2 linked regions of the Ovis aries genome follow. The protein of the gene in region 2 interacts with the protein of the main gene of each other region in a pairwise test. Links are inferred from orthologs where the notes say so. Each region holds a gene or a part of one and is shown on either strand. Other genes may lie near its edges.

The links.
Region 1: the proteins of PRAM1 (region 2) and SKAP1 interact in binary tests that used the Homo sapiens proteins (3 or more experiments, as listed by UniProt). The two-hybrid records come from large-scale screens. The link is inferred for Ovis aries from reciprocal best matches to the Homo sapiens genes PRAM1 and SKAP1.

What each region holds. Positions count from the first base shown.
Region 1 is NC_056064.1:37,789,526-37,793,689, reverse strand, and holds the start of SKAP1 (src kinase-associated phosphoprotein 1), read right to left. Parts: upstream 3,017-4,164; 5' UTR 2,922-3,016; coding exon 2,873-2,921; intron 1-2,872. UniProt on the Homo sapiens protein: Positively regulates T-cell receptor signaling by enhancing the MAP kinase pathway. Required for optimal conjugation between T-cells and antigen-presenting cells by promoting the clustering of integrin ITGAL on the surface of T-cells.
Region 2 is NC_056058.1:14,848,037-14,852,508, forward strand, and holds the start of PRAM1 (PML-RARA-regulated adapter molecule 1), read right to left. Parts: upstream 2,885-4,472; 5' UTR 2,829-2,884; coding exon 2,826-2,828; intron 479-2,825; coding exon 1-478. UniProt on the Homo sapiens protein: May be involved in myeloid differentiation. May be involved in integrin signaling in neutrophils. Binds to PtdIns(4)P.

The sequences.
Region 1 (4,164 bases), on a different chromosome or scaffold from region 2:
ATAAAGATCCACCTCACCCTTTTTAACGGTTACAAAATATTCCATAAGATGGATGATTCCACAAGATATCATCGCCTGACTTCTCCCAACTCATGGCCACTTACTATGCATCCTGATATATATACTTCAGGCTTCCCAGGTGACTCAGAATCCACCTGCCAATGCAGGAGAAGCAGGTTTGATCCCTGAGTCAGGAAGATCCCCGGGAGAAGGAAATGGCAACCCACTCCAGTATTCTGGAGTCTGATGAGCTATACAGTCCATAGAGTTGAACACAACTTAGCGACTAAAACAAACAAACAAAAATATATACTTCATGTTCTTTACTTTCATTAACATAGATTCCTAGGAGTGGAGTTTCTTGGTCAAATGTTTAAAATTTTATCCTTAAAATTAATTTTAGACCTTCAGCGTTTCTGTTCCCTTCTTCAATATGCAAAATCTGGCATAAACCTTTCATAATGCTTTGCATATCTTATTTTTCAAAGCACACACATTATGTCAAAAAACGCCCCTGTCATTTATGCTCTTGTAGTTATAAATAAATAAATGCTAAAGTTATGGCTGTGATGGCCAGCATTAAATCACGGTGCAAATGCTTATGGCTTGGTTTATGAAAGTAGTAATTCATTGTGGAAACTCCACCCCCACAGCCTGTGGCAGCATTGAAGTAGCAGCACTCTCACCCTATGACTCCCTCCACTGAGTGACAATATAGAGATCAGGACCTACATATTTTCTAATTGTCAGCAGTTAACCTTAAAAAGTGTGTGTGGGGGTGGGTGGGGGAAGACAAACAGCAACAGATGAAAAATTGATAGCCATTATGGGCTTCTAATATTTACAAACTATTTGTAGTCCAGTGAATAATTCTGTTGGTCTACAACAGAGAATGTGTTCCATAAAAAACAAAACCTACAACCAATATGTTGCTATGATTACACAAACCTTTCAAAAGTATATTCTTCAAACATTTTTCAATAGAATTATTGGTTGAATTCCACTTTCACATTTTTTTTCTCTACTTCAGATTCAGACTCTAATTACATACTTTAAAAAAAAAAGGGGGAGCCTTAAAGTAATACATTAACCAACATAGCTTCTTAGAATTTAATCTTGGATTGTTCTATATATTCCAAAGACCCGAGCACCAACACAGATTGTTAAGACACAGCAAGTTTGATACAGAAGTATGTGACATGCAATTAATCTCCATTCATACTCTGCTCTACTTGTCAGCAAACAAAGGTTCTGCTTTAGGAGGAGATCTGAAGACTTCAATTAAAAACAGTCAGCTAACAAGAAAATAATCTAAACTAAAGGAAGGTGGCAGGTGCAGAAATGAGTTGTTTACCAAAGTGTCAGTTTTGAACAATAAAGAACTGCACATCAAAAATGCTGAAGGAGTGGATGTCATTGTAAGCCTCTGAAAATAAAAAGGAATTTTCTATCAAGGCTGTAAACAAAATCTAAGTATAGTTTAACTAGTTTGTAAAACAGGTTTCCTCTCAACAAATGACAGATATCAATAAAAAGAATCTGTTTATATCTTTAACTGCAAGCAGAATGAAACTTTTTGCCACGGTTCCTTCTCTCCTGGAAACCAGACACAGTACAGACTCTCTTTATATTTGGAATTACTGAGCCAACAGCAGACGGAAAGGCTGGGTTCCTTCTAGACATCCAGATGATGCTCTTTTACCCCACAAATACTTCTCTATTCTGAAAATTTAGATTCACTCAGGTTGCAAGCAAAATAAATTTTGGAAACTTCATTTCATAAGAAACACGTAGTTGACAGCTTTTATGGAAGCAACCCAGAATGGAAACAGCGCTACAAACAGACTGAAAAGACTTGCCAAATATTTGATTAGGAGGCATTTATACCAAGATAACATGGTAATGGAGATATAAAACCAATTAAATTGAGAGAAACTGAAGAGAAAAAAACATACTGCTTGCCAAAACTATGACCTGCCGAAAACAGGCCATCTGTTAAGTATGTGTCAAAAATGTCACCTCTATACCAAAAGGCTTAATTCTGAGCGGTTTCCTCCTGGGACCCTTATGCAAACACAGATTCCAGGTCCCCATCCTTCCAGGAAGGTCGGTTACAGGAAAAGCAAATTATTAATACTTTTTCACCAGGAAAAGTGGGAGGCAAGCAGATCTTGCCCATTAGCAAAAAGTGTCTCTGGAGTGTTACAGCGGGATGTGTTGAGTGTTAGTGAGTATGGCCTTAACTCTTACAAGGACTGATGGGCTCTACGGTTTGAGGGTGAACACACCGCAATGGGGCACTTCTAGAAAGGGAAGAGATGTAACACTGGGATCCGACCCGGGGCAAGAGGGAGTCTGTGGGCGGGTGAAGGGGGCCTGAGGTCTGGGTGTCCAGGCCTTGGCCGACAGGAGCCCCTGAGCCCTAACAGCCCCGTGAGACCGTGGGGAGCTCTAAGCACGAAGGTCAGGGTTCCCTGTGAAGGGACACAGTCAGGGCTGGAGAGGGGCCAGCGCGTAACCCACAGACGCAGGGCGTCCTGAAGAGAAAGGGACAGGCTGAAGGCCAGCCGCGGCGGCCCGGGGACCTTGAACCCGGCCAGAACTTGCTGAGAAGCCGGGAGGCTAAGTGGGAGGTGGAGACGCCTTGAGGGAAAAGAAAATGTGTTACTAGGAGTGAACGGGACCCCTGAGCGAGGGGTGAACAGCTGGCTCTGCAGAGTCAGGACTCCGGCAGCAGCCTCGAGGTTCTAGAAGGCGGGAGGGAGCCGACGGGGAAGGCCGGCCTTGGGAGCCGCTGGCGTCTCGGCTGCTGCCGGCTCGGCACGTGCGACTCCCGGCGGGCTCGGCGGCGCCCGGGCCAGCGGGGCGTTACCTTCCAGGAGCCAACGGATCTCCTCGGGGAGGGCGGCGGCGGCCTGCATGTGGCGGGCGGCGGGAGAGGGCCGGGCGGGCGGACTGGCGGGCGGGCGGGCGGCTGCGGCGGCACCTGGCCCTCAGTCGCCGGCGCCGCGGGGCCGAGCCGCAGGGCGGGGCGCGCTCAGGAAGCGGCGCGCGGCGGGCGGGGCGCCTGGGCGGCGGCGACACCTGTGCGCGGGGCCCGCGCCCCTACGCCCGCGCCCCAGGGAGGAGGTGCCCGCCCCGCGGCCCCCATTCCCTGTCAGAACAAAGACGCGACGCGACTCCAGGCACCTCGCCTCCGGGCGCTCCCCATTCTAAGCTCGGGACCGCGGGCCTCGCCGGCAGGTGGAGAAGCCACCGTGGGGCCGAGATGAGGCGCGAGGAGGTGGAATCCGAGGACAGGGTCAGTCCCCGCCAAGCCGGGCCGCAGTCATTCCCGACTCAGTTCGCGAGTCCAAGCCCGGAAAACCAGGGCAGAACCGTGGGTCAGGCAAACCAGGACTGTTCGAGGGAATGATCATAAGTCCCAATAAATAATCTCAAGTCACCAACTTCAGGGAGACTCAAAGCAGACCCTCTGCAATGGAAACACGGAGGCAAAGTATCCCTTCCTTCCCTAAGGCTAAAAGGATGAGAGGAAAAAGAAGCGGTAACCCAGAGAGAAAGCTAAAGGAGAGGAGCATCCAGCCCTTTCCCTGTAAGAGTTTAAAAGGGAGGAAAGTGAAGGACAAGATAACAGAAGTGGGCTTCCTTCTCATTCAGAGTATGTAGGTGTCAGGTGTCCTAGCTGTGATATCCTGTGATATTGCACAATTTTACCTGGGGAAACAGGACCACTCTGGATTATTCATCACAACTTCTGTGAATCCACAGTTATCTTAAGTTGTTGTTGTTGTTGTTGTTTTAAGTATAGGGCAAGTGTCATGAAAAAAGTATAAAGTGCCATGGGGTGATACAAGGAGGGAGATGAATATAAGAAAAGGAGGGAAAATGTGTGTGCGGTGTAATGGTGCATGTGGCATTTGAGATGGCTCTGAAGACACCACACTTTGAAGGGGCAAGGGCGCAGGTGGAAGGACCAGAGTAAACAAAGATGGAAAAGACTTCTCCTGCTTCAGGGCAGTTTCTGGCTGGTGTAGGGAAATAGTTGTCAAGAAAAAGTAAAGTTCTACTGTGAGGGAACTTGAAAGGGTAAGGATTCTGAACTCATTTGAGTGGACATTGGGAGCCACAGACAAATTTTGAGATGGGGAGTGAGCTAACCTG
Region 2 (4,472 bases):
GGGGCACTGGAGGGACCTCACTGGACTCGGGCTGGGGCAGGGGCTTCTTAAGGAGGCCACCAGCCTGAGGCTGCGGGGGCTTTCTGGGGAGCCCACAGAACTCAGGCTGCGGGGGCTTCTTGGGAAGAGTACTGAACTTGGGCTCCACGGGGGACCTGGGGGTGTTGCTGAGCTCAGGCTGCTGTGGGGTCTTCTGAGAGGGGGCCTCAGGGACCTCAGGCTTCCTGGGAAGTGGCGTGGCCTCGGGCTGCAGGAACTTCTTGGAGAGTTCACTGAACTCAAGTTTGGGGGGCTTTTTGGGCAGGTCAGTGAACTCAGGCTGTGGGGGCTTCTTGGGGTGCTCGCCTAGCTCTGGCTGTGGGAACTTTTTGAGGAGTTTGTGGAACTCAGTCTTCGGGGGCTTTTTGGGGAGGTCGCCAGTCTCCGGCTGAGAGGCCTGGAACTTTGCTTGAAGGCTCCGGAAGTCCTGATGACTCCCCTAGGGGACACAGGCAGGCAAGGGACTCATACACATGGGGGCCATGGAGAGACGGATGTGGGGATAAGCGGACGAATCACAGACACACACCCTTGTCGTCCTCTTCCCGGCCTTCTGCCATTGACTCTCTTCTCTTGACCAGACTCCCATGTTTTTGTCTCCAGCCTCCCCGTGAGAGTGCCAGGCTCTCTTCCTGAACTACCACACACCGTCTGACCTCGTCACTTAAGCCCGGAATGTGCACCCAACCTCACCCCACTCCGGACCCGAGCTCCTGGGGTGCCATGTGGCCTTCTGCTCCCATTCCCGCCCCCAACCCAACTCCGTGGAGCATCCTCAAGCTCCTCCCCTCCTGCATGTCCCTAGGCCTCTCTTTTCTCATTTCAAAATGTATCTGGAGGGACTTCCTGGCAGTCAGGTGGCTAAGTCTCCTAGCTCCTGTTTGGGGAAGTAGATCCCACATGCCACAACAAAGAGTTGAACTGCCTCAACGGAAGACTCCGCGTGCCACCACTAAGACCCGGTGCAGCCAAAAGCAAGACATGTGTATTAGTATATCTGGAACTGAACAACTCTGGACCACCTGCACCCCTGTCCTGGAATCCACCCAGGGGAGGCGGCCTCCCCTGCAACAGGATTGCTGTAAGAGGCTCCTCCTCGTTCCTCCTGCCCACGATGCCCCACACCCCCTTTCCCGGTCAGCGTGCCCGCAGCAGCCAGAGGCGGCCTGAGTCTGTCTGTCCTCTGCTCCGAATCTGGGTGTGCTCTGTCGCTTGCCCACAGTAAGAGCTCTAGCGCTCACGAACCCCCCGGACGGCACGCCTGACCTCCCCTTGGTGCTGCCTCCCTGGCCTCCCTCTCCTGCTTGGCTCCTGCCACCTGGCCTGCCTGGGCCATACTTCCCATTGCATGGTCTCTCCTCTTCCGAGTTTCTACTCCTTTATTCCATATGATAGAGGCCTTTTTTCCCAGAACACCCTGATTTAAAAAAAAAGGATTCCCCTAGGACTCTCTGATCCCCCCAACCTGCCTAATTTTTCTCTTAGTGCCTAGCACTCTATATCATCCTATTTATTTTTACCTAATACTTATTATTTTTTTTTTACTATTTATTGGCATGCCACGTAGCACATGGTATGCTAGTTCCCCAACTAGGAATTGAACCAGTGCCCCTTGCATTGGAAGCAAGGAGTCGTAACTGCTACACTGCCCCCAATACTGTTTTTTAAATGTGCCTTGACTGTTTAGGGTTGTGTGTGTGTGTGTGTGTGTGTGTGTGTGTGTGTGTGTGTGTGTGTGTGAACTGCCTCCCCCCTGCCCCTGAACGTGACATGAGGGCAGTCTTCCCAATGCCTCACACTCAGTAAGATGCTCAGTAACTATTTGTTGAAATAAAGAATCTACTAGGGACTTCCCTGGTGCCTCAGTGGTTGAGACTTCATGCTTCCAACGCAGGAGGTGCGTCGATCCCTGGTTGGGGAACTAAGATCCCACATGATGCCGTGCGGCATGGCAAAATATGTATCTATCTATCTATATATATACACCGGACACCGAGATGAGCAGCATATACTCTGCCACATCCAGTCCAATGTGGCGCACCAGCCCTGGCGCATGAAGTCCATCTCGATCCTGTCTCAACAGGACCCACACCCTCAGTCACAGACACAGGAGACACACAAGTAGGCCAGGGCTGCTCTGACCGACAATTGACCCCAGAAGTGGCCCTGCCACTGGCCCCTGGGCCTGGCTTCACCTGGGGTCTAGGAGATTGGGGAGGGGAAGGGCAGGACCTCACTCATCTGCCCTGTCTGAGCTTCACTCTCCCCTGACCCAGAGAACAAGGAAGGGTGGCAGTTCCTGCCTGGGGCCTGAGAAACCTCTGTGAAAGCTGGGCTGGGATAGGCTCCTAGGTGACCCAGAGGGCTGGAGAAGGCAGATCAGCAGGTCAGGCCCTGGAGGACTGCTGGGGTGGGCGGGGTGGGCAGCAGCTACATGACCTACTTTGTCACCCACAGGAAGCCCCTGCCACTCACCCTGGCTGCCTGTTACCCGGTGGCTGTTCATGCTGACCTGGGGGGAGGGGAGTCACCCCAGCAGGCCCACCCGTTCCCCTTCTAGTCACAGCCTCAGCTCATCGCCGCCCCTCGGAGCTTGAGTTGTCCCAGAAGTGGATCCCGGCTGCTTCTTAACCCCTGGGCATTTGTGGCGGTCATTCTCATGTCCCCAACAGCTTTCCTGCCCCTCTGCCACCCTGCTTTTGGAATATGCCCCTCTGGTTTCCACCCGTGGCATCCCTCACCTCCAGCCAGTGTGGGGCTCTCCCAGGCCCTGGAGACTCACTCACCATGGCTGCAGGAGGGTGATGGACCACAAGGCGAGTGGGACCCAGGCCAGGACTGCTGCATTCAGGAAGTGACTGTGGCTTCTGCTCCACGGGGTGGGGTCTGCTGGCCAGGCGGGGAGGGGAGGGGAGGAAGGGGCAGAGGCGGGGACAGCCCCAGCCTGGTCTCAGATCCTGTCAGTGCTTCTTGAATTCCTGTCCTGCCCTGCAAGCTTTGGGCATCCTGTTAGCAGAATCCCTCCCAACAGTCACTCATTTCTAGATTCCGCTGCCATGTGCTGGCCTCCGAACCCCAGGGAGGACTTGTGCCAGGCCAGGAGGGCCTCCTGCCAACAGGGGCAGGCCAAGGACACCTCCAGCCAAGGCCTCCGTGGGAGGGGAGGGGTAGTTCTCAGGAGGGAAGGGGCATGGTAAGCTTCACGCTTACTCAGGAGTCGGAGTGAGCCGGGTTGGTGAGGCCCTCCTGCCGGCCCGTGTTGCCTCAACATGCCTTCCTCATTTCAACACTTCTCTGCAGTCCCGATTTCCAGCTCTGAGCAGGACTCAGGACTTCTTGTTGCGGGGACAGCTGTCACACAGGCCGATGGCCCAGGTGGGGTGGCAGATTTGCTGATGGGCGGGTGGGTGGGCAGTGTCCAGGTTCCCAGAGGACTAGGGAAGGAGGAAAATGGGGGTGGCTGGGAGGCTGGCAAAGAGGGGGTAAAGTGGGGCACAAGACCAGTGCTGTCCAGAGGGAAACCCTGATGGCTTGGCTTGGTCCCCAGGAGGTCAGTGACCTTGGGGCTCATAGAGAAAGGAAAAAACACCCAGTGGGAGAGAGCAGAGCCCTGATTCTCAGCTTGGCCACACCATCGGGGTCCCTTGAAAAGTTCACAGAGGAACAGAAGCTCCTGGAGATCTTTTTTGTTTTTAATTTAAAACTTCAGCTACACTGGGTCTTTGCTGCTTCGAGCAGGCTTTCTCAAGTTGCAGAGAGCAGGGATACTCTAGTTGCAGCGTGCAGGCCTCTCTCTTTGTGGTGACTTCTCTTGTTGCGGAGCACAGGCTCTAGGGAGCCGGGGCGGGGCTTCAGCAGTTGCAGGTCCCAGGCTCTAGGGCACAGGTGCAGGGGCTTAGCTGCTCCTCAACATGAGGGATCCTCCTGGACCAGGGATCAAACTCATGCCCCCTGCACTGGCAGGTAGGTTCTTTACCACTGAGCCATCAGGGAAGTCGGTTCCTGGCCTGGGGATTTCTTACATACCCTCAGAGTGATTCTAATGTGAAGCTGGGAAAGAACTGGTGTCCACTAGTTACCCTGGGACCCCGATAAAGTGTGGGCTGTGCCTCAGGTCTGTCAGAGTCTGAAGCATCCCAGGTGATGCCCTTACTGTGGTCCAAGGATCACACCTAGACTAGCAGGGATGTTTGAAGTTTCCAGAAGGCAACAGACAGTGGTTGGCAGTGACTCTGCCTGTGTGTCTGCTCTAAGAGCAGAGCTCGGGGATTCTGGGCCCTTGTGTGTCCCTGCACAGACCAACATGCACTCTGGGTCACATTCCCGGGTGTGGGTTCCCCTTTCGAGTAGGAAGCTGAGGATGAGGATGAAGAGGTCTGTGTCCCAGAGCTGCTCAGCCTGGGAACCTGCAGCTTCTGGCCAACCTGCACCCT